4 linked regions of the Caenorhabditis elegans genome follow. The protein of the gene in region 1 purifies or fractionates together with the protein of each later gene. This does not show direct contact. Each region holds a gene or a part of one and is shown on either strand. Other genes may lie near its edges. The genes, in order: npa-1, T21H3.1, F22E12.1 and tth-1.

Evidence for each region.
Region 2: the proteins of npa-1 (region 1) and T21H3.1 fractionate together in Caenorhabditis elegans (co-fractionation; one large-scale study listed by BioGRID). This does not show direct contact.
Region 3: the proteins of npa-1 (region 1) and F22E12.1 purify together in Caenorhabditis elegans (affinity purification with mass spectrometry, with the first as the bait; one large-scale study listed by BioGRID). This does not show direct contact.
Region 4: the proteins of npa-1 (region 1) and tth-1 fractionate together in Caenorhabditis elegans (co-fractionation; one large-scale study listed by BioGRID). This does not show direct contact.

What each region holds. Positions count from the first base shown.
Region 1 is NC_003283.11:7,072,950-7,082,958, forward strand, and holds npa-1 (Polyprotein allergen nematode domain-containing protein), read left to right. Parts: upstream 1-2,927; 5' UTR 2,928-3,011; coding exon 3,012-3,056; intron 3,057-3,401; coding exon 3,402-3,436; intron 3,437-3,545; coding exon 3,546-4,239; exon of another isoform or gene 4,240-4,282; coding exon 4,283-4,654; intron 4,655-4,709; coding exon 4,710-5,081; intron 5,082-5,126; coding exon 5,127-5,498; intron 5,499-5,540; coding exon 5,541-5,912; intron 5,913-5,957; coding exon 5,958-6,332; intron 6,333-6,378; coding exon 6,379-6,756; intron 6,757-6,802; coding exon 6,803-8,017; intron 8,018-8,412; coding exon 8,413-8,505; 3' UTR 8,506-8,631; downstream 8,632-10,009. Other genes in the region: nssp-53 (Neuropeptide-Like Protein), read left to right, coding at 1,944-2,060, 2,528-2,602, 2,649-2,694; mys-1 (Histone acetyltransferase Tip60 homolog), read right to left, coding at 8,809-8,826, 9,724-10,009.
Region 2 is NC_003283.11:1,174,355-1,180,746, forward strand, and holds T21H3.1 (Fungal lipase-type domain-containing protein), read left to right. Parts: upstream 1-2,369; 5' UTR 2,370-2,370; coding exon 2,371-2,742; intron 2,743-2,790; coding exon 2,791-2,916; intron 2,917-4,001; coding exon 4,002-4,349; intron 4,350-4,399; coding exon 4,400-4,471; 3' UTR 4,472-4,510; downstream 4,511-6,392. Other genes in the region: ptr-16 (SSD domain-containing protein), read left to right, coding at 234-357, 411-460; F25A2.1 (Fungal lipase-type domain-containing protein), read left to right, coding at 5,275-5,595, 5,640-5,765, 6,298-6,392.
Region 3 is NC_003283.11:10,452,538-10,460,487, reverse strand, and holds F22E12.1 (BPTI/Kunitz inhibitor domain-containing protein), read left to right. Parts: upstream 1-3,140; 5' UTR 3,141-3,165; coding exon 3,166-3,376; intron 3,377-4,032; coding exon 4,033-4,289; intron 4,290-4,332; coding exon 4,333-4,533; intron 4,534-4,576; coding exon 4,577-4,922; intron 4,923-4,967; coding exon 4,968-6,158; intron 6,159-6,209; coding exon 6,210-6,295; 3' UTR 6,296-6,631; downstream 6,632-7,950. Other genes in the region: F22E12.3 (ShKT domain-containing protein), read left to right, coding at 160-250, 553-620, 847-1,145; Y32F6A.5 (Retinoid-inducible serine carboxypeptidase), read left to right, coding at 6,883-7,170, 7,262-7,492, 7,543-7,653.
Region 4 is NC_003284.9:8,421,249-8,426,650, forward strand, and holds tth-1 (Thymosin beta), read right to left. Parts: upstream 2,484-5,402; 5' UTR 2,462-2,483; coding exon 2,344-2,461; intron 2,032-2,343; coding exon 1,826-2,031; intron 1,750-1,825; coding exon 1,618-1,749; 3' UTR 1,606-1,617; intron 1,473-1,605; 3' UTR 1,232-1,472; downstream 1-1,231. Other genes in the region: tag-123 (Transmembrane 9 superfamily member), read right to left, coding at 84-344, 392-485, 541-608, 679-804. UniProt on the Caenorhabditis elegans protein: Plays an important role in the organization of the cytoskeleton by regulating actin polymerization in two ways. Firstly, by binding to and sequestering actin monomers (G actin) inhibits actin polymerization.

The sequences.
Region 1 (10,009 bases):
ATTTCAGTTTTACCGCGTTTTTGCTAATGCAATAATTTTCAAATCAAAATATTATTATTTTTAATATTCAGAAAACCACCGGTTGGCCTGTCTTCTAACATCATTATTTTCGAATGTTGACCAGAGTAATTTAAAAAAATACAGCTGATTTTTTTTTGATTAACAAAAATATTTGCAATATTACAAAATAATGTGGAGGCTTTTTTATATCCCAAATAACTACTGATGAGATTCAAAAATAATTTTAGAATCTTCAAGCTAACTTTATTTTCCTCCCCACCTTCAAGTGTTCCTGGATAACCGTTTAACAAACTTGAGTTTTGAAGCTTGCATATAAAGGAGTCCGTAGTCTTATTTCAAACATACCTAATGCCTGCCTGCCTAAATGCCTGCCTAATGATTCAGAAGCTTTTAACTAAAATCTTTATTTTTGGACAGTTTCTAAATTTGATTAAACTCCTTGAAAAGAATGTTTCTGTTTTTCTCACAAAACCAATTTAAGGGGCTTTAAATTTCCATAATCCCAAGCATGACACTATGTTGAATAGTATTTTAATTTTGACGAAAATCAAAGGAATCATCCAGGGAATCCAATTGACTCCTTTGTGACGATTTGAGGAAACGGATTTCATCAGTCGATTTATCATTTTTTGAGTAATTGTCTGAAAATATATTTTGACAATTTCATGCTTTGGAATTATCTAGCACCTTTTAAAAAAAAACAATTTTAAAGTAGTATTGCTACCAAGAACTCCCGTTTAAAAGAATTAGTTTAAAACTTTTCAGAAATCTGCTCATTTAACCAGAAACGCGATACTCTCAAAAGTCCCACTTACTGAGTGTCTGACATCTCGTCATGGTCTATTTTAATCCAAAAAAAAACAAAATAACGTAACCAGAAACCACTACAGAAATTCCTAGCTATACAACTGCTTAAAAAATGAATCCGTACTTAAATTTTCTAAACGCTAGATTATAAAATTAATTCCTAAAATAATGTTCATAGTAAAACTTTCCAAAGAATTTTTTGAACACTTTTTATTTTGTTTCAAAATGTGGTAATTTCTCAGTTTTGCAACTTTTATGGAAGTCGTCGATCAAAAAAAAATTACCTCCAAATGTTATGTTTCAAATGATGAATATTCAAATATTGTAAGGAATCAAATATGCGACCGTGTTTTAGATTTCTCACTTTACTATGATATTTGGCCAATTTGGCACCACGGGCGGTGCTCCACTTTTCCTTTCCAAAGTTCTCCCGAAATGTTCAAGAATTCCCAAGGAACTATTAACAATCGTCACCTCAGCCAAAAAGTGTCTAATTGTTGTCTAGCGACCTTCTGGGAGTATAGAAAAACTAAAAACAAACGAAGGTAATCACAGTCGTCATACTCATCATTATGAGTATTGTGTGGCTCTTACCCTTTTTCTTCGCATTAAATTTAACGACATTGTCAACGTTTTCAAGAAAACGAAAAACGTTTTTTTTTCAACATAAGCCGCATTGTTTCTCTTTCTGTTTCTTTACTGCCCATTACCGAGCAGAAAAAGCATTCACATGTTTAATTCGCTTTCTGGTTCCGCTCTTCAAAGTGTCGGATTTCGAGCCGCTGTCACAATTTTCTCAAAAAATACTCGTCGAGAAATATGTGTGTTTTTCTGCTTTTCGACGGCGATGTACTTTGATGATGATGACTTTTGTCGACAGAATACCAATTCAAGCATTTCTTTTTGTTTTTTGTATAGCCTAAAAACTGAACCGTTGACGCTTCTCTCTTTGCGTCAGCACGTCTGAAAGTGAAAAACACTTCATAATGAGCAACGTCTTCAAAATGTCCTTTTCATTTCTTACACTTTAAAATTTCTGAAGATAACCATGAAGCATTTGGGCAATATTATCATATTTTCTATGAATAAAATTGCATAATCAAACTGTTTTTCAGGTACCTCCTCCTTCATTCTTTCTATTTCAAAATGGTCCGCTCGATCGTGCTGTTGCTCCTTTTGGTAGCTCTTGTTTCTGCTACATATTCCCGTTTTGGAAGCAACAAGGCTAACAAGTAAGTGGGCAAGAAGTTTCAGAAAAAGCTGAAATATTTAAGTAGTTAACTGTCAGTAGAAGAAAAATTACAATTTTTGCAATTGCTGAGATTGGCAAACATTTCCAAATACACTCCTGTTTACAGTCAAAGATTCGGTAAATTGCCACATTTTTGAAAAAAAAACTTGAACTTTTTGGGTAATTTTTGAGCAGATGTGTAAATTTGGATTTTTAACAACAACACAAGGATTAGAACACAAGGATTTTTGGTAAATTTTAAAAATAATGATTGGTGTAGCCAATAACCTATTGCAAATAAGTCAATAACCTATTGTTTTATTGGTCATTTTAGCAACATAAAAGTGACTAAACATGTTCCTCACATGTGATATATCAAAAATACACTATAAATCCAATGATCTTTCAATGTAGTTTTTCCCACTTCCTCATTTTCATTTCCAATTTCCTAAATAATTATTATTCCAGACCAGAAGAGGCGCATCCAAGTATCAATGACCAAATAATGCAGGGCTCGCACATTCGATATTATGGCCGATTCAGGTTTGAGAGTTATCATTCACATCATTCTGATAAGAATCTTTTACAGAGATGGCTCGGATGATGTGCTGAATCGCTATTTCAATCGTTTGTAGTGTGTGCATCTCTCACAAGAGAATCTCATCATCAACAGCAAAATCATGAAAAAGAAAACAAATCATTTGTATCTGACGACTCAAGGCTGAAGCTATTTCGCTGAAAAATAATTAATTTTCCTTTGCTTTTCTTTCCTCACTCGTTGTATCTCTGTCCATTTCCTCCACCGCTCGATAAACTCTGTTTAACACAAACCATGTTTGTTGAATCTACCGAAAACAGTCCGAAATTATAGTGTGACTGATAAGCGAGCACGACAGTGATAAGCTTTTGAAACGGCGCTGCTCGCCATTGGTCTTCTATTTCACACTGAAGGATGGCCGTCACTAGGTCACTTCTATTTTTATTTTTAATTGCGTCGGTAAGTTACACAATTGTTTTCCTGGTGGTAGAAATTTTTCCATACTTTTCGTTAAAAATTATTGAGAAAGCTTTGCATGTGCAAGCAATTTCACGCTAAAATTTTTCAGTAGCTTGCATGTTAGCTAATCCAAATGTAAGTTAGAACGTGACGTCTAAAAACTAGAAATTAACTTTTCGACTCTCTTCACTTTACGTTGCTGAACTCTTGAGCTCACAAACTTCAACTTTTAAACTTTGTGCATCTAGTTTGTAGTCTATAAAAAACACGATTTTATCAGTGATAATCACACATTTATTTAGCGATTTCCACGCAACACACTAACCACAGTATGTACTATTTCAGGTCGCATTGGCCGGCAATCACAACCGTCATCACAGGTAATGCCGTTTTTTGTTTACGATATGGGCACAGCTCTGTTTTAAGATAACAGAGAGAAGCATCTGGAAACATAGAACACAACAGGGTCAAAGTATAGAAAAGTTTCAGAAACCGACGGGATAATGATCTCCACGATTGGCTAACAGCTGAACAAAAAGAATCTTTAAAGGATATTGCACAAGGAACTGAAGAGTTCAAGAAGAAGGTTGCAGTTTTCTACAACGAGCTGCCAGCTGAAAAGAGAGCAGAGTGGGACAAATTCTATAAGACTCACTGCTTCGAGTGGACTGCCAAAGCTCAAGGAGCTGACGAAGAAACTGAGTTCCAAAAGAATCTTGCTGATAATGATGTGGAAAAAGTCAGACAAAGAATCGGAGAGCTGAAAAAGGATTTGGATGAGAAGGCAAGAAAGAACGTTGAGATGTGGGAGGACGATTGCTACAAACTTGTGAAGCCAATGAGAAAGAGAAGAGAAATTGAAGCTGAGTTCCAAGATTTCGTTAAGTGGATGACCCCAGAACAACTTGGCGATATTAACGCTTTGAAGACTGCCGGAAAAGACAGTGAGATTCAAGATAAAGTTAAAGAGTACTTTGCAAAGCTCCCAGCTGATCAACAGAAAACTCTTACTGAAGAATTCAAAGGAAAGTGCAAGGTTTACTTCACCCCGCTCATGACCTCTGATGAACTTGAAAAGATCAAGACATTGAAGGGAGACAAGGAAGCTGCTGGAGCACTTGTGAAAGGAGTAGTTGACAGACAAGATGGCGAAGTCAAAGTGATTGCCGAGAAGATGCTCTCTGTATGTACCTTTAATAAATTTACGGTAAAATTGTATCTTTCAGGTTTGTGGAGAAGTCTACAAGGAGTCTACCCGGAAGCGCAGAGAAATTGAAGCTGCATTCCAAGACTTTGTTAAATGGATGACCCCAGAACAACTCGGGGATATCACTGCTTTGAAGGCAGCTGGAAAGGACAGTGAAGTTCAAGCTAAAGTAAAGGAATTCTTCGGACAGCTCCCAGCTGATCAACAGAAAACACTGACCGAAGAATTCAAGGGAAAATGCAAAGTTTACTTCACTCCACTTATGACTTCTGAGGAGCTTGAGAAGATCAAGACATTGAAAGGAGACAAGGAAGCTGCTGGAGCTCTTGTAAAAGGAGTTGTTGATAGACAGGAAGGTGAAGTTAAGGCTGTTGCTGAAAAAATGCTCACTGTAAGTTTCATCTAGTGACATCATTGTCTTACGAACAATTTCTAATTTTCAATAGGTATGCGGAGAAGTTTACAAGGATTCTAGCCGTAGACGTAGAGAGATCGAGGCAGAGTTCCAAGATTTTGTCAAGTGGATGACCCCAGAACAGCTCGGTGATATCAACGCTTTGAAGACCGCCGGGAAAGATAGTGAGATTCAGGATAAGGTTAAGGAATACTTCGCACTTCTGCCATCTGACCAGCAAAAAACTCTGACAGAGGAGTTCAAAGGAAAGTGTAAGGTTTACTTCACTCCACTCATGACTTCTGAAGAACTCGATAAGATCAAGACAATGAAGGATGATAAGGTGGCTGCTGGAGCACTTGTTAAAGGAGTCGTTGACAGACAAGAAGGAGAAGTTAAAGCTATTGCTGAAAAGATGCTCTCTGTAAGGGAAAGTATAGTTAGTGAATCTTATCAAACTAGTTTTCAGGTTTGCGGAGAAGTTTACAAAGATTCTAAACGCAAGCGAAGAGAGATCGAAGCTGCATTTAAAGATTTTGTTCACTGGATGACACCAGAACAACTTGGAGATATTACTGCATTGAAAGCTGCTGGAAAAGACAGTGAAGTTCAAGCTAAGGTTAAGGAATTTTTCGGACAGTTGCCGGCTGATCAACAGAAAACTCTTACCGAAGAATTCAAAGGAAAGTGCAAGGTTTACTTCACACCATTGATGACTTCCGATGAGCTTGCAAAGATCGAAACTTTGAAGGGGGATAAGGAAGCTGCTGGAGCACTTGTCAAGGGAGTAGTTGACAGACAGGAAGGAGACGTCAAGGCTATTGCTGAAAAGATGTTGACTGTAAGGAAAAAGTAATAGTTATAAAAATACTGAATTATTCAGGTATGCGGCGAGGTGTACAAGGATTCTAGCCGTAGAAGACGAGAGATCGAACCAGCATTCCAAGACTTTGTCAAGTGGATGACCCCAGAGCAGCTCGGACACATCACAGCACTCAAAACCGCTGGAAAAGAAAGTGAAGTTCAAGATAAGGTTAAAGAGTATTTTGGACAATTGCCAGCTGACCAACAAGCTACATTGAAAGAAGAGTTCAAGGGAAAGTGCAGAGTGTTCTTCACTCCATTGATGACCTCTGAGGAACTTGACAAGGTGAAGACATTGAAGGCTAATAAAGAAGCTGCTGGAGCACTTATGAAGACTGTGGTAGATAGACAGTCAGGAGAAGTAAAGGCTACCGCTGAGAAAATGCTTGGAGTTAGTTTTACATGTTTTTTTGCTAGCTCAATCATTTATTTTCAGGTTTGTGGAGAAGTGTACAAAGAGTCGAGTCGTAAACGCAGAGAGATCGAGGCCGCATTCAAAGACTTTGTTCAATGGATGACCCCTGAACAACTGGGAGAGATCACATCAATGAAGGCCGCAGGAAAGGAAGGACCAGAACTTCAGGCCAAAACCAAAGAGTTCTTCGAGCAACTTCCAGCTGATCAGCAAAAAACCTTGAAGGAAGAGTTCAAAGGAAAGTGCAAAGTTTACTTCACTCCATTGATGACTTCTGAAGAGCTCGAGAAGATCAAGACATTGAAGGGAGATAAGGAAGCTGCTGGAGCACTTGTGAAGGGAGTAGTTGACAGACAAATGGGAGACGTGAAATCTATTTCAGAGAAGATGCTTGCTGTAAGATAGACATAGTTTTTAATCATATCTGATAGCTTGTTTTCAGCTGTGTGGAGAAGTCTATAAAGACTCTAGCCGCAGACGTCGAGAAATCGAAGCTGTGTTCCAGGACTTCGTTAAGTGGATGACTCCAGAACAACTAGGAGATATCACTGCTTTGAAGGCAGCTGGAAAAGACACTGAGGTGCAAGAGAAGGTGAAGGAATACTTTGGAAAACTCCCAGCTGATCAACAGAAAACACTTACTGAAGAATTCAAGGGAACTTGTAAGACTTACTTCTCCCCTCTGCTCACTTCTGAAGAGTCTGAAAAGATCAAGGAACATGTTGCATCCGGAGACAAGGAGGCCTCCAAAGCACTTGTCAAGGGAGCTGTGGATAGACAAGAAGGAGAAATCAAGACAATTGCCGAGAAGATGTTTGGAGTAAGCATTAAATTTAAAACTGAATGAAAACCAAACTATCTTTCAGATTTGTGGAGAAGTCTACAAGGAGAGCAAGTCTAGACGTGACGTGGCTGCTAAAATCGAGAAGCATTTAAGTTGGCTTCAAGCCGAGGAGAAGGAAGAGATTCTGAAAATGAGCAAAGAAGGAAAGAGCAAGGATGACATCAAGAAACGTCTGTTCGAGATGGTTGAAGCCAAGGAGAAGGATGCAGGAGAGAAGGAGAAAACCGTAAAACTGTGCTACGCTTGGATGGATGATGTAGCTACAAAGGAAGAAATCGAGGGGCTTCACAAGTTGCACCATGTTGATCATGGAGCATGCAAGAAGAAGGTTCGCGAGTTCATCGGAAGACTTCCAGAGGAGAAACAGAAAGCTGTTGAAGCTTCCCTTCCATTCTGTGAAAAGCTCTGGTATGGAGATCATGCATCTCATGAGGGACACGAAGGACATGGAGATCACTCTGGACACAATCATCATCACATAAAGAGACGTCATTTGGCTGTAATTGAAAAGTACATTGAGTGGCTTGATGAGATTCAAAAGGGAGCGATTAGGGAGTTGGAAGCATCTGGAGCAGATTTCAATGTGATCGCTGATAAAATCAAGGAATTCTTCCATCTTCTTCCAGAACAGAAACAAACTGATGTTAAGGAGAAGTTCCAGAATCAATGCATGACTTGGGCGAAAGAAGTTTCAAAGCCAACCGAATGGGAAGAAATCAAGAAATTGCACGCTGCCGAAGACTTCAACACATTGAAGCTGAAGCTTGTAGAACTGGAAGAGCGCCTTACAGAGAATCAGAAGCATACAATTGAGCACGTGAGAGGAGTCTGCTATAGACTTTGGGGAATCAAGAATCTTGCCAGAAGACGTCGTGTTCCAAACTCAGAAGCTTCATTCCAAGAGAAAGCGGCCAAGTATTTGGATTGGATGAACGAAGAACAATTGAACGAATTGAAGAGATTGAAAAGTGAGGGAAAGAAGTCCGAGGTGATGAAGGCCATTCTAAAGTTCTACGATGAAACAACCGGAGATGCCAAGGAGAAGGCCGAGGGCAAGTTGAAAGAAGCTTGTAAGGAGTATTCGGTTAAGGCTTTCGGAGAGGAGAAGGTGGCTCAATTCAAGGCTCAATACAAAAAATTGAAGGATGAAAATGCGGAACAGTCCGAGATTGAGAAGTTGTCCAATCAATACATTGACGAGATTGAGGATGAACAGAAGAAGGACTTTGCAAAGGCTGTAAGTTATTAATTATGGGGCCGCAGCAAGCGCGCTTCAATGCCAAAGGAAAACGCTCCGCCTCCTAACGTTAGGTCTCGGTAGGAGGCGGCGAGACTGTAAATTCAAACTTTTTCACTATTTTTTCGATTGTTTTTTGTTGTTTTACATATTTTTTATGTCGAAATGATGTTTAAAATACTTGTCGTTTCGAAATTATAATATAGTCAGAAATAACCGAAAAAATAACAAATTCCTAACGGGACCCAACGTTTAGGGGCGGAGCACTTTTCGTTTTACATTGGAGCGCGCTTTCGCTTAGATTTCAAAAAACTCTATAATATACAATTTTGGATTTTTTTATTCAGATTGTTAAAAATTCGAGTCCTGAAATTAATTTTTTGAATATCTTTCAGGTTGTCACTGGCTGCAAGCATGTCTACGCCTCAACTCGTTCCCGCCGTGATCTGATCGCTCAGGCGGTTGCCGAATATCTTCAGAACGCTTAATGATTAGAAAACTTCACTTTTGCAGTTATAAACTTACTTGTCTATATGATGAATTTTAATTATTTGAACTGCAACAAGAAGATTATGAAATTCAAGAATAATTTCATTAAAAAAATAAGTGACTAATAAGTCAAATTATTACACAGAACAAATGAAATGAAATGAGGCGTACGCTCTCTGAGCGGTGTGGGAATGATAAAGGGATAGCGTAAGCTTTTCGGTGTGTAGATGCGAGATAAAACGGAGTGTTATATTTTAATGTACAGGTTGAGATCGTCGTGGCGAGAACACATGTCGTTGTTGCTAGAACATGATCTGCGCCTGAAAAAAAAGTTCATAAAATAATTTAAAGATATATTCCCGGAGACTTTTTGCTTTTGTGCCGGTTTTTCGATTTTTGGATATTTCGAAAAAAATTGCGAGAGTTCAAAAATTATTTAAAATCTGCCACTATTCTTTTTTTTAGAAGAATAGTATGTTTTGTGAAAATATTTCTATTTTTTTTCGATTAAAAAATCGAAAAAGACAATTTTTTAGTTTTTCGGAAAATCGAAAAACCGACATCCTTGTTACTGTTTAAATACCTTATTAAAACTAAAATAATTAAAATAAATTTTTCTTTTAAAACTTAAAAACATTGATTTCTATTTTTTTTTCTCATCAACATATACAAAATTTGATTTAAAAAAACGGTTTTTTAAAAATAAATTTCTGAAAAGTTTTTTTTTTAATTTTTCAGTTTTCCGGACGTTCCAGATTTTTCAAAATTACAATTTGGTTAAAATTAGGTTTATTTTTTTTCGTTTTTTCGAAAAAAAATTCGCAAAAACTGAAAGATTTGAGTTATAAATTTTTGATAAATTTAGTAAAAAGAAAAATGATTTTATTAGAAAATTTCAATTTTTTGACACTGTAAACCAGTATTTCCATTTTTTTCCTTAGTATTTAGTATTTCCAGTGTTTAGGTGTTTTTTTTTGAAAAAGAGCAAAAAACTGGAAAAAAATTGTAGGGTCAAATTTGCTCAAAAAAGTGCAATTTCTGTTGTTTGTATGAAATAGGGCGTAAACCGTTTTTTTTTAAATTTTTTTTTTGGTTCTGCCAAAAACGAAATTGTTTTTTTTTGGTTTTTTGAAAAAAAAATGTTATCACGAATTTAATTTAATTTTAATTTTCAGTTTTTAGCCGTAAACACGAATTTTTGATTGAAAAAAACTCACTCTTTTCTTTCCGTACTCTTTGGGTCGCCATTGCAGAGCTGCTGGATTAATTCGTGTCTTCTTTTTCGCAGCCTCAATCCGTTTCTCATAAACTTGACGCTTTTCATCACTAATCACAATTATGTATGATCCCTTATAGTATTTGTATAGATCAAGTTGCTGTAACGTTGACACAACATCTTCTCGTTTAATCGATGTACTTTGTGAAATGTCCTGAACTGTGATATCTTCGCCTGGATGTCGTCTTTTGAATGCGAAAAGCTCTTTCATGATGGCCATTGACCAG
Region 2 (6,392 bases), 5.9 Mb from region 1:
CTGGCCCATTAGTTCCAATCGTCCAGAATGGACTCACAAGATTCCTGGCGCTTTATTTTTGTCGTGATTTTTTTTAATTAGTTAAACATATTTTGATAGCATTTCTGGTTTTTGAGTTATCTATAATCTTTTGAAAAATTTGAGAAATTATCAAAAAACTCTCGATTGAAATTTACTCGAATAACTGATTTGAATCGAGATATCAACTGTCAGACTATAACCTTTTTTTTCAGTCTGGCGACTTATCTCGTTTATTTGGTGGCGACTCAATACAGCCGGAAAAACCTGAAAAACTCGGAGAAATTTCACAGGCTTCCAGTTTTTCAAGTGGAAACAGTGAGACAGCTCTAGTCAAAAGTAAGAGTCAAAAGTAATACATGAATTCGATTTAAAAATTACAATTTTTACAGGCAACTCAACAGAACTGAGAACCTTACCACAGGAACGGGGATCCGGTTAATATGTGCCAAAAAAAATTGTGATCCAAAATTGTAATTTATTAGTGTTGTTTTTTTTCTCCACATTGTTTTCCTATCAAGTCTCAACTACGGGTGCTCGACTTCATTGACGTCTGTCTCATTCCCAGTTTTCTTTTGTGATAAATTAGTTAAAAAGAATTTGCAAATCAGTTGTCATTGCAGAAAAAACTAAAAATTTTCTGAATAAAAACTCACAAAAAATCAATCTTCAGGTGACTTACTGATGAAAATAAAATTTGTTGAAGATTTGTCTTTAAAGGTTGACTAGCGTCACGTGGTGTCAAAGTGTCCCATTTTAGTTTGATCTACGAAAAATGCGGGAGAAGAGACGGAGATTTTTCAACTGATTTCGCATGGTTGAGAGTATGCTGACGTCACATTTTCCTGGGCAAAAAATCCCGCATTTTTGTAGATCAAACCCTGATGGGACAGCCTGACGCCATGGGTAGCGTTTGCGCTAATTTTGCCCTAAATGGTCGAAAAACAGTCTTAATATATCAATTAAAACTATGAAAAAAATTTACAAAAAATTTCTAATTTTTTCATGATTTTATAAATTTTGAAAAAAAGAGCTGAATTATTTTTGAATTCCCGCACAAATGAATGACGTCATTTTTGGCATTTTTGCATTTTTGGGCAATAAATTTGATTTTTTCAATATTTTTCAAAAATTTTTCAATATTTTTTACAATGTTTTTCAGACATTTTTCGGCGCAGCAAATGAAAAAAATTTGCTGAAACTCCAAAATTGGCCTAAAATCAATAATTTAGCATTAAAAAAACGTGTTTTTTTGGGAAAAATGTCTGAAAATTTTGACAAATTATGCGTCAAATTATGAAACAAAGAAAAAGTAAAGAAAAAGCAGTCAATATTCCCAAAAAGTGTCAAAAAATGACGTCATTCACTTGCGCGGGAATTCAAAAAAAAAATTATATTTCCTGTTCGAATTTTAAAAAAATCATTAAAAATTTAAAAAATTTTTATACATTTTTTGACAGTTATATTTGTTATATTGAGACTGTATTCTATCATTTAGAATTTAAAAAAAACCCACCTGTGCAACTCCAATTTTAAGGTAAGCGGGGATAAAGTTGGCTTGACAACATTTTTTGGAAATTTAATTTTCTTAAAGTTTGCTGATCAAATCAAATATCAGCCTTTCAAAAACATTTCATTCGGAAATTTGATTATTTGATTTTTCAGGTAGAATTCACGGATTTTCGGCTTCCCTCATAAATTGAAATGGAAGAAATTGCCGAACTAGGCCATTTTGGCTCGGCCATATCTTGGGTAGATTTACGGCGCGTTGCGTGTCGCGGCTCGATTTTAGTTGTGAAACTAAATGCATTTGTCCGTGTGGAGTACAGGAATTCCCACGCGTTGGCGATTGTCAATGGAGCGCAAAAAATTCAACGAGGAAGGCCAGAACCCCGTGTAGAATTTTTTTTAACACCACTGAACATTCAAGTATCAAGAACTTTGTTCATCTCCTACAGTGTTAGTTTGTGGTTCGAGGAATCAAACGACCATTTAAACTACTTGCGTAATCCGGTTCGATTGAAAATTTGATAAAAGAGCACAAGTTAAGCGGTATCATTCATATCAACGACTTTTTTATAGGTTGTGTGATATTTGAAACGGAATTGGTGATAAGAAAACGGAAAGTTAATAAAGAGAAATCGAATAGCAGAGTATCGTCATTTTCCCACCTTTTCTCCCAGTAATCATGTTTTAAATGTTAATTCGAAATTTGCGGCAAATTAAGTTTCGAAGTGACGTCACACAGGCTTCACTTCGGTGACGTCACGTGTTTCTGAATAAGATGTGTCACGTTTTAAAACGATTTTCCAACTTCCATCTCATTTGTTAACTTTAAATTATTCTTTCAGTATGCAAGCCTTACTGCTTGCTGCAGTCCTTCTGCCACTGGCTTCGGCCTTTGTGCTACCAGAAGCCCCAAAAAATCCAGAGAACCTCGACGTCTATACCATCCCATACAACGACGCCACTGCTCGCAAGAAGATTCTCTTCGCAGCCGGCGCCGCCTACGGATCGAATCCACAACAGTGCCTCGACAAAGCGTTCACCGGTGCCTCAATCAGGAGAATCATTACGGCTCGCTGTGACGTCAACCCAGCCGACAAATGCGTCGGATACACCGCCGTCAGTCCACAGGACAAGGCGATTATTGTGGTGTTCCGTGGAACTAACAACAATGTGCAGCTTATTTTGGAAGGATTGGAGACTGTCTTCGAGTATCACGTAAGATTAAAATTTCGAGTACTCCGGAATAAATGAAGCATGTTTCAGACTCCATGGGCTGCTGGAGGTGTCGTCTCCCAGTACTTCAACGACGGATTTTTGAACATCTGGAACGCCGGACTCAAGGACGATTTTAACACTCTTGCCGCCCAAAACCCAGGATTCCAAGTTTGGGTAAGAATTCGTAAAAACTGATAAGAAAATGATTATTGATGGGGTTAAAGTAGACTGTGCTCCCGTGTTGTTGACAGCTATCGTAGTCTAGCAAAATATACTTTGCGAGTTCATGAAGCAAGTGGTTGTTGCATTTCTACAGTGTATTCCTACACTTGTGATATAAGTGAGTATACCCCCCAGGAAGACGCAGACGACATGAGCTGGGTTGGTTGAGATCTCGATCGAAGTCGGCTGCACGTGGTCCCAGGCTGTCTCATTAGGGTTTGATCTACAAAAAATGCGGGAAATTTTCGCCCAGAAAAATGTGACATCGACACGTTCTTAACCATTCGAAATCAGTTGAGAACTCTGCGTCTCTTCTCCCGCATTTTCTGTAGATCTACGTAGAACAAGCCGATATGAGACACTCTGACACCACGTGGGCTGCAGTGCAGCTACACAGTACGTCGCGCAAGCCTTGATGCCTGATAGGTGTAACAATAATGCTTCGTTAAATTTTTTTTTAAAATAAAATAAGAAGTCCAGATCAGAAACGCGGGAATGTCAGTGGTCAACCTCGAACCACAAAAATGTTATAGAAACTTAAAACCCATTCCACGTGGTGTCAGGCTGTCTCATTGCGCTTTGATCTACAAAAAATGCGGGAATTTTTCCCAGAAAAATTGTGACATCAGCACGCTCTTGAACATGCGGAATCCGATGAGATGTTTGCGTCTCCTCTCCCGCATTTTTTGAAGATCAAAGCAAAATGGGACTTTCTGACTCCACGTGTCATTCTTGTTGGCGCATGAGCAGGACCCAACCAGTGGATAAAAGATCCTTGTGGATCCATGTGATGATCCCGTGGTGACAATGGTTTCTTGAAAGTAGTCCTATCATTTCCCGGAATACTGTTTAGTGTAGCACCCAAGGTGGTCCACATAAGAAAACGCGGTCTCGAACATTGTCCGTTGCAAATTTATTTTCGTCTCCCAAGGCTCAAAATCATGGGATTCTGGCCTTCCTCATTGAATTTTTCGCGCTCCATTGACAACCGCCCGCCGGACAACGCGTGGGAAAGTCGTGTACTTACAAAACTTCAGGTCACCGGACACTCCCTCGGAGGAGCGATGGCCTCCCTTGCCGCCTCCTACATCACCTACAACAAGCTCTTCGACGCCTCGAAGCTTCAACTCGTCACCTACGGACAGCCACGTGTCGGAGACAAGGCCTACGCGGCCGCCGTCGATCGTGACGTCACGAACAAGTTCCGCGTCACCCACGCCCACGACCCGGTGCCACATCTTCCAAAGGAGAACATGCAAGGATTCACCCACCACAAGGCCGAGGTGTTCTACAAGGAGAAAATGACGAAGTACAACATTTGCGATGATATCGATGAGAGCGAATTCTGCTCCAACGGACAAGTTCTTCCAGACACTTCTATCAAGGTATAAATCGTCCAAAGTTCTTTACTTCACCAATACTTTTATTTTTTTAGGATCATCTTCACTACTTCGACGTTGATGTCAGCGACTTGGGCTACTCAAATTGTGCTAATGTCAAGAACTAACTTTTCAATGTTTTAAACAATAAAATAGTTCACAACTGATTCAGTGGTTCAGAGTTGAAGTGGTGGGCCTGCCTACGCGCCTGCCTCCCATATGTTCGCAGAGGTCCGCACCAGGAATGTGCGGCAAATTTGCCGAATTTACCGAATTCGCCGAGCTCGGCAAATTTCAAAACAGTAGATTTGCCGAATTTGCCGAGCACGATAAATTTCGAAATTTTCCGCACACATCAAAAATTTTTTAACAATACAATTTTGGCCAAAACTATTGATTTTGTCCCCAAAAATTTAGTAAAATGGCATAAAATTGAGTTGTTATTTTGATGCTTAAGCAGACACACTACACGGAAGTTATTCAGACACCAGATTTTTATTCAGAATTCAGTAGTTTCGGTGCTCCAAAAAACATCAAAAAATATCAAATTTTCGGAGTTAATTAAGCACGGCAAATTTGCCGAATTTGCCGTGCTCGGCAAATATTGGAAGAAGAGATTTGCAAAATTTGGCGAGCACGGCAAGTTTTGAGATTTGCCGCACACCCCTTTTCCGTACAGGTTTGAGGCAGGCGTCGGAGCATAAATAGCTAGTAATTCCCTTGATAACAAATGTGACAGCAATCTGAAGATGACGTGATGTTCGTCATATTTCCAAGCAAAGTTAAATGACAAATTGCCTCGGAGCAACAGTAATCCCAAAATCAAACAACAAAGTCACACTTGCAACCAGAACTTTTTTCACTTTTCACAGAGCTATTTAAGTTTGCAAATTTTCAATTACAATTGTATTTAATGTATTTGACATTCAAAATGCTTTTTATTTTCTCCGTTTTAATTTGCAAATCATTCTCCCACAGTTCAATACCATATTCCGATCAGCTCTCTCGGAATAAACTGATCTATGCAGCCATCTCCGCGTACGCTTCTCCTCCACAAAGTTGCATGAGCTTGGCGTTTCAAAATTTTCAAGTCAAACCTCAGATTACTGTAGCTTGCGACACACTTGATGATACATGTTCTGGATTTACTGGAGTCGATCACGAAAGTCAGGCGATTTTGGTAGCTTTTCGTGGAACTAATCGTAACGCACAGCTGCTCGTTGAAGCCGTAGAAACTGTGTTTGCAAACAATGTAAGTTAGTTTATGCAAAAGCTCTGTCTAGGTCAAATTTTCAGAAATCCTGGGTTTCCGGTGGGCACGTCTCCGAATACTTCAGCGATGCGTTTTTCAAAATATGGACTTCTGGAATGAAAGATGACGTCATCAGTCTGATGTCTAGATACCCAAGTTATCAAGTTTGGGTTCGTTAGCCTCGCACGTTCGATTTCCGAGAATAACGGGAAATTTACACCTGGGGAGTGCGGCAAATTTTCCAAATTTGCCGGACACTCCTGATAAACACGCAAGAGTTCTACTAGCGTCTCAAAGCGAATTTCGTATTCCGACTTCCGCATTTCTTGGAGATCAATAAACATGCTGTCCCATTACAGTTTGATCTGCCAAAAATGCGGGAATTTTTTGCCCAAAAATATGTGACGTCAGCACGTTCTTAACCATGTGATTCAGTTGAGAAATCTGCGTCTGAATTCCCGCAATTTTTGTAGATCAGCGTAGATCAAGCCGAAATGGGACAGCCTGACATCTCATGAGTACACAGGCCCATTACAATTTGATCTACTAAAAATGCGGGAATTTCTTCCACAGAAAATGTGACGTCACTACGTTCTTAACCATGCGAAATCAGTTGAGAACTGTGCGTCTCTTCTCCCGCACTTTTTGTAGATCAACGTAGATCAAACCGAGATGGGACAGCCTGACGCTGACAATTTTCAGGTCACCGGCCACTCTCTTGGTGGAGCTCTAGCCTCCCTTGCTGCCACATATCTCCGATATACCAGTCTCGTATCGGCTGATCAGCTTCTCCTCGT
Region 3 (7,950 bases), 3.4 Mb from region 1:
TCAAGGTTTGAGAAGAATTCTTAATTTGGAAATTTGTACATTTCATTCCGACATTAATTGGAAATTGAATCAAAAAATTATTTCAACTTCAGCTGAAAGTTTTCAAAAATTTTAAAAGTAAAATACAACTCTTAAAATCAATAGTTTTCTTAGTTCCAGATACTGCACAATTACCATGTTGTCGTGATCGTTTTGGAGAACAAGCATGCCAATCATTGAGAAAATCACAGCCAGCATTATTTGAAAAGAGGTGAGATAACAGAAAGTTAACTTCACAAACTAACTGGTAAAATGACAAAAAACTGTCAAAATTTCTAAAACTTTGTGAGATTGGGAATGAGCGTTCTTGAAAAACCAATAAAAACGAGTGAGTCTCAGTGGCGATAAATGTGAGGTAATGGATCCAGTCGTTTTTTGTTGAATATCTGCTCAAGAGTGTGCGCAGATATTTGTCTTTTTCCTTCTTATATCTGTGGGCGCGAACAAATTTATTTCGATTAGAGGTTCAAAGAATATTGACTATAGATTAATAAAAACAATTTTAATTTCCAGATGCTTGACTGATCACGATTTTGCCGCTATTGATTGCTGTGGAGAATGCAGAAAATATATTGAAAGAAGTGAGTATCTCATGTTTTTTTCCTGAATACGCTTCTTATTAATACGCTAAAGAAGTTTAAAGGGACCCAAATAGTTTTTCTAACTTTGTAGGTTTTACTTTTTCTGTTAAAACCTTTGGATCACTTGTCAGTTTTTTTCAAGCAATTCTTGGAGATTGAAATCATTCACTGAAATAATCCAGCCTACAAAGGCAAGATATTCATAGTTCCAATCCCAATATTTCAGATAAGATCAGTTCCGAGAATTCTCGTTCACTCCAGAAGGCTCCAGCAATGTGTAAAGACAAACATTCTATTGGATTCTGCAGACGATTCAAAGCATCTGGAATGGGAAAATACAGCTGTTCTGATGCAGAATTTGCTGTTCGAGTTTGTCGTCATTCTTGTGGATATTGTAATGATGAGTTGTACTCAATGAAAAATGCACCTGCTCTGTGTTCTGACACAAACCGAATGATTCCAATTGTGAATGGAACACATCTGTATTGGGCATTTGGAAGAGAGGACAAGAAAAAATTAAATTAATTGAATTATTTTGTTTTAAAATGTTTTGTTTTCTCTAGTTAAGAGTACTTTTCCACCCACGTGGGTTAACTTTTAAATCAGATTTCTATGTTTTATTTTTTAGTTTGTACTGGCTGTTTCTATTAATTTTTCTGAATAAAGTCTACCTCATTCCCTGCAAATATAAACTCTCTGATCTGCCATGAACATTTTCTGCACTAAACAGATAAAAATTGTCTGTTAATGTTTCGAATGAAGAGTAGATTTCAAACTTCAATTCCATCAATCACTTCAGCAAATTTTGCTGGCCGGGATGAGCCTGGCACAAAAAAACAAGCGACGGTCACATGTTCGCACATTTCAATTCGAATTTAGAATGTGTAAGGTCGCCTCATTTCACTTTCGACACTGATGGATGATGGCAGCAGAACACAGTGATTAGGAGATTCAGAAGTTTTTGAATGAAACAGGGAAAGAGATAACAACTTTTTGAAAAACAAATTGGCACATTCTTGAAATAAGACGGATCATGGAAAATTGCAACATTTTCTGACGGATAAGTTATAAAACATTCTTGCAGAATGCAATGTGGCAGAGATTTTTATTTTTGAACAAAGTTGAACAAAAATTGAAGTTTTCAGAACTTCATTACGTTTTTTGTTACATTTTCAAAGCAAAGTAGCGCAAATAGGGAGCCTGTTTTAAATTTAACCGTTGGTGTTCAATTGACTAATTGAATACTTTAAAAAATCCAATTTACAGTGAAATCTGTAATTAATGAGTTATAAAATTAAATTACCTATAAAAATTAATCCACAGTGCTCGAAATAAAAAATGAATCTGGTTCAGTTCAAAAATGACAACACTTCATAAAAAATTTCTTTCCCTATTCAAACGCACAAAAATTGACTTTCAACTAAAAATGAAATGGGTTCCAACCAAAAGTGGCCCTCTAAGTATCCAGTTACATTGTTCTGAAAAATGTTGTCGATCATAAGTTCTTAACTGGCCGCTGGTAAAAACTAATAATTTAGGTGTGATTATTACTTTAAAAAAAACGTACCAGGACACTGAGTTTTGAGCTTTGCGGAAGTTATAAGGAAAATCTGTGCAATTTTAAAAATGTTATTACATGAATTTGTAACAAAAAAATGTTTGCTTTAATACTGATACATTGCTTCGAGAAAAGCTACACGAACACTTACCGATAAACTCGGTAATCTAATTTTGTCGGAAAATTCGCCCCACACCCCTGTCCTAGAGCATTAATAATAAGTTGGTATAGGCACGACTAACCTTTAAAACTACTAAGTTTTTTCTCGAAACCTAGAATGCTGTAAGAATTTTTTAAAGCAATTTACAAGAGGAATGTTTATTGATATTTATAAACCTAAATTAGAAATGGTTTAGTAAACTGCAAGAATTATCACATAATGGCGAAGTGAAAATCCCCTTATATATTCTCACCTACAGCCAACAACATCAGGACAAAAACAGAAACTGGCTTCTGTGATGCCATCTCATTTATCTCTATCAGTTGACATTTGTCCCCTCTTGCACCTCGAATACCTTTTCCCCAGTGGGAGCACGCCTCGTTTTTCTGTTTTCTCTGTCAACCTATTCACATTCCCGCCCCGTTTCTCCTTCATCTTCATCCCACCTGCAATGTCCTAGAAAACTCGGGAGGAGCAAGGAAGAGAGGACACTCAATCCCATTGTTTTTTTCTTTCAACCTTTTTAAAATTTTCCACATGTTTCTTTATTTTTTGTATTGGCCAGAAGCCTAAAAATCGAATGAGTCAGAGTTGTGTGACTAATGAGTGGGATGGATACACCCGTCTTCAAATCAGAAACTCATAATTTTCAATGGACCAATAAAAAAGTATCTCATGTAATGACTTTTTGTGCAATCTTCTCATTTCCATTGAATTTTATTCTTGATCTCACCGCCGCTTTCTCTTTTTCGCACAGCTCCGCCCTAAGTGTCAGGAGCACTTTTAAATTATTTCATTTCAGACAAGAATTGAAAGAGTAGAGTATCATGCTCACTGTTCTCATTTTACTCTTTGGTTGTACTGCGGTCAACTCACAACAACTGCTATCCAATCCAAAATGCAATCACTGGCCAGATCGTGGCACATGTGAACTTGATTTTCATGTAAAATGGTATTATGATCGGTATGATCATCGATGTCGTCGCTTCTTTTATGGAGGATGTGAAGGAAATGAGAATCGATTCGATTCTTTGGAAGGTATGCTACTGAATATATTTTTAGCTTACACTTAAAATAATAAAACTGCGTTGCGTGTACGCCAAAATAGGCCCCGCCTTTTTCTCGTTCACTCACGGGGAAAAGGCAAAAAGCGGTACCCCAGGCAATATCAGCCGCCGACATCATTCGAGGTCCGCGCACCACACTATTTTTCTCACTGTTGGCGTGGCGAGCTGTCCCTTTTTGAGTGTTTTTTTTTGAGTGTAACTAAATACCATATATGCTTCGTTATGGGCGCTAGACGACCCATTAAGATCCATTGGCGAGTTTTTTGTTTATGGCCAGCGTTTGGAGCGCTTTGGAAAGTTTGTCAAACAGTTGTTAAACCTTTGTAAAGAAAAGCCGATGTTACGGAATTAGTATTATTCGAGACCGGGTCACCTCACATATTGCATAATCAGAGTACGATCAAAGGTCTGCAAGGTCTGACCGATGTTTTAAAAAAATGCGGCAAAAGTATAACCAAGATTTGATTATGTTTACAAATATTAAATATAAACGGTCAAATGTTGTCGAAAAATTGGAGACCACTGCCAAAAATATGATTAATTAAAATAATTGTAATATTACTTCTTGGTTTTTGAATTACAATGTTGTTCACAATGTTTTTTTTAACTCAATAGCATTCTTTCCAGAGTGTTCATCTCAGTGTCACTATCAAGTACCTACAAACCGAGATCGATGCTTTCAACCTCATGATCCAGGAAATTGCTATGCGGACATTGAGCGATGGTTTTTCGACGAAAACAAGAAGCAATGTGTATGCTCATGGTGGTCTGGTTGTGGTGGTAACTCGAATATCTATTATTCCTATAATCACTGTATGCTCATTTGTGGAGAGTATGCAGAACATGGACCTGGAATTGATGAGAAGTACTGGGGAAGACAGATGGTGAGTTAAGATTCCGAATGGAAACAATAGTTATGTTTTACAGAATCGATCAATGTCAGCTGAATCTCTACATGTTTTTAATAACCCAACTGAATCATTCCATCAGTATTCAGAAGAGCCGTATCCTGTGCAGGTTCCATTGGAAAATTCCTATTATGACAGCCATCCGAGAAGATATGGAAATTCAGATAACTGGGACAATAAACTCATGACAATCAATATCAGTCACAGAGACGATGGACCAGTAATTAGTCACAGTTTTTCTTTGTTTTATTTAGCATTTTCAGAGCTACTTTCACGCAGCTCCAGCTGTGACCGTTCCGATGTTCAGCCGAGCTGCCCAATCGTTCAAGACTCAAGCTGATGGATTGACTATTCATCGTTATGATTCCGAACCAAGACCAATGCAAGTACTTGATCAAGATGTAAACTGGCAGATTCAGGAACAAGCTTCTGCACAACAAAATGGTTTTATGAAAAGAAGATTCAAAATGCAAAAGAAGAAGCTTCCACCACGAATGATTCACTTGGGAACGCGTCCAGCTTCTCAGTCAAATTCTTATCGTATCCAACTGGATTCGGAGATAAATGAACACAATAGACCTGTTACATATCAAGTTGTTAGAGAACAAGGTAAGAATTCAATCATTTCTACATATTCAGAAATTCCTTTTATAGATGCACACGTTCAGCAGCACAATCAAATATCCCAATCGTTGCAAAATGAAGCCGAAGAGACGCAGAGGAGAATCCAAGACACAATGCGACGCAATTACTTTGAGCAAGCAAGATATCAAAGGCCACCAGTTCAGATGCCTCCTCCACCACCACCCCCGCAACAAAATAGTCCATCTGTTAACGAGAACTATCATCCAGAACTTGTAAATCAATTCAAATCACATTTAGATGAACATGAAAAGGCATTGAGAAGAAAACTTGAGGCACAATTTCCAGATCATATCATAACTTTGATACCTCACATTGAGACAGTTCGAAACCCTGATGGTAGCAATGTTGTTCGACAAAGAATAAAGTGGACAGCTTATCCAAAAGGAGCAAGAATTCCTGAACATGTTCCAGTACCTCCCGTGGCTCAACTTCCACCACTTCCACCAATGCAACAAGTGATTCAACCCATTTTGACCACTCAGGCAGTTTATACAACTGAGGAACCATACATTCCATTGATCACGACAGTGCCAACCCATGAAATTTCCCGTTTAAAACATGAAGAAATGCAAAGAAAGTACAAAGAAGATCTGGAAAAACGGCAGGAAGAGCAAAAGAGACAACAAGAAGAACATAAGAAAAAGATTCAAGAGTTGAAAGCTGCACAGCAAAGAGAACGTGAGAGAATGATGGTTGAAAGAGAAAAAGCTGAAAATGATAGAAGATTGAAATATGAAAATGAAATGAAGCAACGGGCTGAAGAGTACCAAGCAAGAATGAGATTAACCACGATACCAACTCCAACCACTACAGTTGAAACCACAACTGAATATGTTCACGTTCCATATCCAACTCTTCCTGTCAATGAAGTTGTATACGATGCACATATCAGAAAACCAATCCCAACAAGCAAGTCAATTGCCGAACCAGTTGAACACTTCAGGCCAATTATCGAAAATGTGACGCCTGCGTCTCTTAGTCTCGAAGATATAATTGCAATGGATAATCAAAGATCAGATTATGAAGATGAATATGATGTTCCAATGGACTTCCCAGATACGGAAGCACCACCATTGACAACAAGACCTCCACCAGTAACGGTTCGAAATACTCGACCACCTCCTCCACCACAAATACCACAACCAAGATCTCCGATTAATGGAGGAATGCCTTCAATTGTTCAACCACCTAGCAGTGGAAGTGAGTATTATTGTGAGAATTTCATTTTAAAAAATTCAAATATATTTCCAGAGAAATCGAAATTGTTCGCACCACCATCAAGTGAAGAGTACACTCAAGAAGTTGATTTTGATCCATACGTAGACTTTGTCAAATAAGAACTAAAAACTATTAAATTTAATTTCTAATCTTCTTGATACGTGTATATTTACATTTTCTAGGTTTGAAATTCTCTGAATTGAACATTTTGGAAAAAACTGTTATCGGGAAAGAAATCTTGAAATTTTAAAAATCTTACCTCTTTACTTTGTCCTTGAGGATCTTCATCTCTATCCTTTCCCGCTAGTATTCCTAGATTTTTTTTCCAATTTTTTTTCAAGTTTTGAGAAAGTTAATCCTAGGAGACCGTTCCAGATACATGGTGCCAGCGGCACGTTAATAATTCATTTTCCCAATTTTATTGATTTTTTCCAGAATAAATTCAATTTTTGTGATGATTTTATTAAAAAATATTTTTTTTTAATGTTCCCGCCTCTTTCTTTTCATTTCTGATAACACATACCACTTTTATCGTCATCGTCTCCACCGCCCTCCCTCAACAAAAAGAACTTTACAGCTTTTTGATTTATTGGCTCTTTGCGGTGGCTCCAATTGACAAGACGGCAGTCTGATGGTCACGGGATATTTGTTCTTGAATCTTCTGCTTCCTTCTTTATTTTTTCTTTACATTTATCTCATTTTTCAGATGAACTTGTTGTTTATTCTCTCATTAGTGAGCCTTGCTGCGGCGGGTGCTAGCAATTCAGTTAATACTTGGGGAGGTGTTATTCAATATGATGAAGATTGGGGATATGTTGATATTCGTACAAATGCTCATACTTTCTGGTGGCTTTATGCAGCAAAGCCTGCCAATTCTCAACGTCCACTCTTTCTCTGGTTGCAAGGAGGACCTGGATCATCTAGTTCCGGTTTTGGAAACTTTGAGGAAACTGGACCAAAGACGTTGAATGGATCTGACAATCCAGCTACTTGGGTACGATATTTTCTGTGATTGTTATTTTAAACACTGTATTTTTTTTTTGAAATCAAGATCTAAATTGAAATTTGAAAAGTTAAAAATTTAGCTTCAAGTTGCTGACATGGTCTACGTGGACAACCCCGTTGGTGCTGGTTTTTCCTATGTCGACGATAAATCTGCTTACACCACTGAAATCACTCAAATTGGAAAAGATTTGCTCGCGTGGCTTCGCAAATTCCTTGCTCTTCATCCAGAGTATCGTACTCGTCCGTTCTACATTTTCTGTGAAAGTTATGGAGGTAAAATGAGCGCTCAATTTGCTAAAGTCATAACTGATGTAAGTTTCGAGGTAACCATAAAAAAAACTAATTAACTGTAGTTGTTTAGTCTATCAAAGCTGGAAGTCTTCAACTCAACTTCCGCGCTGTTGCTCTCGGAGATTCATGGATTTCTGCAATGGATTATGTCAACACCTGGGGACCATATCTTTATGCTAATGTGAGTTCATATGATCATAGGACACTTTTATGTGTTCCATTCCCCAAAAAAATTTGTTTTGTTCTAGCAAATAACATTACTATTTAAATATTTACAGTAAGATTTAAAATGTGATAGTTATCACAAAAAAAATCCAAAAGCAAATCCGACTATCTCGAGACGTTTTTCTGAATATCGTAGAAACTTGTTTTTGAGACTTTGACAATCCACGAGAATTATTCAAAAAAATATAGTTACTTCAAACTGTTACGTCCTTTTACGTCACAGCTTTCAAAAGTCAAAGACGAATAGGGCTAT
Region 4 (5,402 bases), on another chromosome or scaffold:
ATGGAAAAGAATGGTTAATTGAGGTTTCGATATTGGACAAAAGGAAATTTCACGAATTCAATAAAAAATTATCTAAAACTTACATTGAGTACACAAGCGTCATGTTGATATCCCTGCTCATCAACAAAACATCCAACTGGGAATCCAGTAGTGCATACATCCATATTTTGAAGATTCTTGAAACAGAAAGTCACTGGCATGTTGTCAACAATCCAATGATGTTGGTAGTTAAGTGTCATGGCTCTCTGGAGCAATCGAAGCTTTGCCAAATCATCGGCGCTTCCACGAGCGTATTTCTTTGTGTCGCAAACCAAACGGCATTTTTCTTCTTGCAAGAATGCCACCTAATACAGAGTAATGGATTTTTTCATTTATTTTTTAACTATGTTACCTTGTATGGACTTGGACGAATACGTTCACCGAACAAAACTTGTCCGAGATTTTCGACCGGTGACTCATCCTCGTTTACCGTGCAAAAGTCAAAACTGAAAATCACGTCATATTTTATCAATAATCACATTTTATCATGTTGTGACCCACCTATGATATTCATATGGGATGACGGAGCGATCGCTGTCAAGATGATTGACATACAGGGAGATGTTGCTCTGAAATTTTTTTCATGGTACTTTTTAACTGAATTTTCAAAGTACTTTCTAAATCACCACAAAAACTTACTGGACAATTCGCTTTTTCCACTTCACAAAAGTTCACTGGTGCCAGGCCAGGAAGGTAGAAAGCACTGGCACTGGCAAGAAACGAAACCAAAAGTAGTTTTGTGAGCATCCTCGTCGTTTTGGGCATTACCTGAAAATTGATATCAACAAAAAGTTCCGTGAAAAACATGCAAAATGAAAGAGAAAACGCGATGGAACGAGACAATAAGGGTCTCTTTGCATAAATCGAAATGCCACGCAAAACTGACGAGGCAGCCGACCTCTCTCGCGTCTCTACAGTGTGTACACTCTTTCGGCGGTGGGTCTCGCAACGATATGACGACGGAGTGTGGATTTACGGCCTCCCTTTAATATTTCAACCCATTTTTATTGGAAAATAGTTTTTTTTTGGTGTTTTAATATCAATTTTCAATGTAGATTTTGTAAAATTTTTAAGAACAACAATCGTTATTTCACACTCAATTAAAAGTATACTCATAGTTATTAATTTAATTACTATTAATATTAAAATACTAACTTTCCTGAAATTGTTTCATTTAAAACAAAAAAAAACTGTAATAAAATATGTTCATTTTCAAGTGGGGAATAAATATGGAATGGTAAAAAATCGATACATCAAATATTATGTAATGAAACGTAAGAATTGATGAAAATACATGTTTGTCAGGGTAAAATGTTAAAATCGATAAAACTCGAACCAGAAAACAAAGAAAACGCATTTAAATGTGAGAGTCCGGATTTTTCACTAACGATAATATGAAGGCGTACCGAATTGAGGTTGAAGAAGGAGGGACTCTGGAAAATAAGAATATAGATTAACATCTCCGTCGTTTCAATTTGCGAATTCCACATCATGACCTAGTAATTCAGATTGAATTTTTAGATATATAGAAACATTGGAAGTTTGATATTAAATAGAAAAAAAAACCTTTTTCATAAATTATTGAGCTTCAGTGACGCGGACATCGGTGGAGACAATGGTTTCGACGTGGTGAAGAGCACTCTTGTCAAAAGAAGCAGCCATTTGAAGAGTCTTCTCGCGAGCAACATCGGTTGGAGAAGGAAGGACGTTCTGAAATACAAACACAAATTGCTTTGTTTCTATAATGTTTTGTTTTAAATGAAAACTTGTGAAAATTGTGAGCTACCTTCTCAATGGTCTCTGTTTTTTTCAAGTTCTCAGATGGAAAGTTGTTGATCTTGTCGGTGAGCTCCAAGTGTTGCTTCTCCTGCTTGATATCGTCAGCCGATGGAAGCACAATCTTCTCCTTCACTGGGGTAGAGTGGAGCTTGGTAGAGTCGAAATGTTCAATCTCGTGAATGCGCTCGACATGTTGCTTCTCCTCGGCGACATCTGAAATGTTAAAACTTTTGAATAACAAAAGTTTGAACTGATCAAAATCATAACATTTCCTGTTTGTGAACTCATGTAATTTTTATATTTTGAAATAGTTATCAGTTATTGTTTGAACAACTGATCATTTCATTTGAAAGTGATAATGACTCCGAACATCGAAAACACATGATTTTTTCTCGTCAGTTTTGATATGTAAAGTTGATGAACTAATGATTGAAACTGTATTGGAATTGAAAACTCTATCGATACTCTATGAATTCCATATTAATTTCCTATTCAATACCAAAAAATCATACAAACACAACTAACCTTCCTTGGTCGGCAAAACATTCTTCTCGGTGGTTTCAACTTTTTTGAGCTCCAATCCCTCTCGGACAGCTCCAGCGAGCTCTTGGTTCATCTTTGGAAGTTCGGTGACGGCAGCCATTGCGAGTTTTGGAGGAAAGTGTCTGCAAGATATAGTAGAGCAATTATTGTCTAAAACATTTTAAGAGGCAAAGTGGGAATGGCAAAAAAAAGAAATGACGGTAGTCAATGAAGAATCAAAAGAATTATCTGTGGGTTACGATTGAAAATGCTTGCGTTTGCCTATATATGAGAGAGGAGGGTTGTCGGCACAATAATAGTGTTTCCTGTGACTAATACTTTTTTTCTTGTCGCACTGACTGACTCATCACTGGGTCTGCTGCTGCTGCTTTTATTTTCAAACGGACGGGAAAAAATTGGGCAATGGACAGGATTTTGAGGACAAAATGACATGAAGAATAAGATGTGAAGAGGGGATTTTGTTTATTTGACTAAAGAAAGAAAGAAAGAGTCTATCATAAACAATTTGAAACGATTGTATATGTATAAGGGTATTGGTATGTGCACGTTTCGATATTGTCATGTTGGAAAAGGGTAGATGGGGGAACAGCGATAAATTTTTATTCAACACGTGATTTATTTGTTGTTTTTTTTTCCTATTTGTGATGGTGAAATAAAATATCGTCATGGCTTTGAAATCGAAGAGTGACTACTGAATTGAATCAATACGGAAAATTGAAAAGGGCATTTAATGTCAACAAACATTCATTCTACACTTCTTCCCATCGATTCCATGAGAACTTTTTGTTCGAGAATTTTGAGAATGAAGAAGTGAAACTGTAAAAATGAAAGGAAAGTGAAACGATTGAGAGGAAAAAGAATTGTACGTTTCCAAGTGTATTCATATTTTCTTTCACCCTTCTTCTCTCGCTCTTCCAAATGACCTACTTCAATTTGATTCACAGTTTTTGTAGTGTGAGGAAAGGTGGAACGCGTGCGTACACAGACATTTGAAAGAAAAAAATTTAGATGGGAAAACTCGGCACAGACTTGGCATGGCAATTATGTGCTTGGCGGGTGTTTAGGAGAAAAACTATTGCAAGAAGTTCGAAAATACAAATTCTATACTAAATTTGAGTACACTAAATTTGAGTATACTTGTAGACAGGTAGCCCGCAGTTTTCGTCATTATAAATTATGTTTACAATTGTGTTTCCCAAACAGGGTTCACATATAGAATAGAATACGCGCACCTACCGCGTGAAGCATCTAATTGGTTAGGGCAGCTTGGGTCAGAAGCTCGACTTATATACGCTATTTGACAAGAACAGGTGTGGGGCTGCTCTTAGAATATTGAAATATATTATTGAAAACAAAACAAGGGTATGATGTTTTCAAGTGCAGTTAGAAGTAGAATGAAGATGCAAGGTTGAAGAGTGGAAAAACTCGGGAAATGGAAAAACAAAAGCCACTTGCGCTTCAACGCCTTTTTCGTACAGTTGTGCGCATAAAAAGACAAAATATTTGCACATGGCCTTCTCTTTCAGGAATATATGAACAAGGCGCAAAAAATACTTCAGCTGATCATCCGGTCAGCTGTTAGTCACCGATAAGTGGTCAACGGAGAGATATGGTGGTATTGCGAAATTGATTTCTGTGAGGAAAAAAACAACTCACAGGAAAATGAGTTTAAGGTGAAAAAACAATAATGGGGCTTGGAAAAATTTCAAAATTCCAGTAAAAAAGGGACTTATACCAGATATTAACAATTTTCTTCAATGCGCATTTAAAAAAATTGTGTGACTTTTAGTTTTACATTACTATTTCAATATTCGGTAGCCGTGTATTCATAAAAATGCTTATATACTAGTATACAGGCATGGCGCTGTTTTTTTTTTGGTTGCGGAGAAGTCCTAAACAAATTCTTTTGCATAAATTTGAGATAGTTTTGGTGTTAAGAGTTGCAATTCTCCATGTGGATTATTGTCGACAAAGACATAGTTAAGAAATAATCATGGGCCATTCTAATGGGTCAAATTTCTGGAATCATCGAAAATTTGGGTTTTCAGGCAAATTATTTTTAAAAATTTACTGTGACTTTATCAGATAGTGTATGATAGCTCATATGAAAACGCTTTAATTTAAAGGCATTTTTATTCATTTTTTACAATTCTAAGCGCTCAAAAACTAAAGTTAAATATACATGATATTCGCAGCATATTATTAAGAAATTTTAAAATTCATAAATCCCAATCAAGAAGTTTGTAAATTTAACATTTTTTCAATTAGCATCTAAATTTGATCAAAACAATTAGTCCAAAAATATTATGGAATTGAGGAAGTATACGTTTCTGGAATCAAATTTTCACGTATTAGCTTTTAGTTTTATTTCGAAGAAACTATAATGTTGGGTAATTTTCTTAAAGTGATATCAGAACTCTACGACTGACGATTTTTTCAGTCTTTCATCATTCTAATTTTTATGCCTTTTCTTCTGTGAAATTAAAAGCTGAATACATTCTGGAACGGCGGTAGATTATTCCAAGAAGTCAGATTTTCAAATGAGAAATGGAGAATCATAGTGGTAACATTTTTGGCGGGAAAACACTCTCATAATAGCAAGAAACCAACACGCATGACGAATTCGCTTCCTTTATACATAACTCAACCGAGTGAAAAGTTTACAGTAATACAAAACTATGGACATTGTAGAAGAGCGATTGTGTTCATTATTAGAGCGAGAAAGCGGAAAAGAGAAAGACAATTCTGGTCCATAACAATGAGAAATTGAGGGTACGCGAACGATTGGATGCGGCTAGGAGGAAGACAACAATGGCGGTTATATTATATGGTATGTGTAGAGAGAATGAGAGAAAGATATTGAGAGTGAGAGAGGGAAATGACAGAGGATGAGAAAGAAGGGCCACCGAAACGACTCAAGGTTAGAACCACTCTTCCCACAGTCCCCAGGTCAGTCTACTTACTGATGACGGGACTGGAGGGACAAGACAGGCGTCCTCGGATTGAGGTTGTCAAGTCATTTTATTTTTGCGATGTTGTGT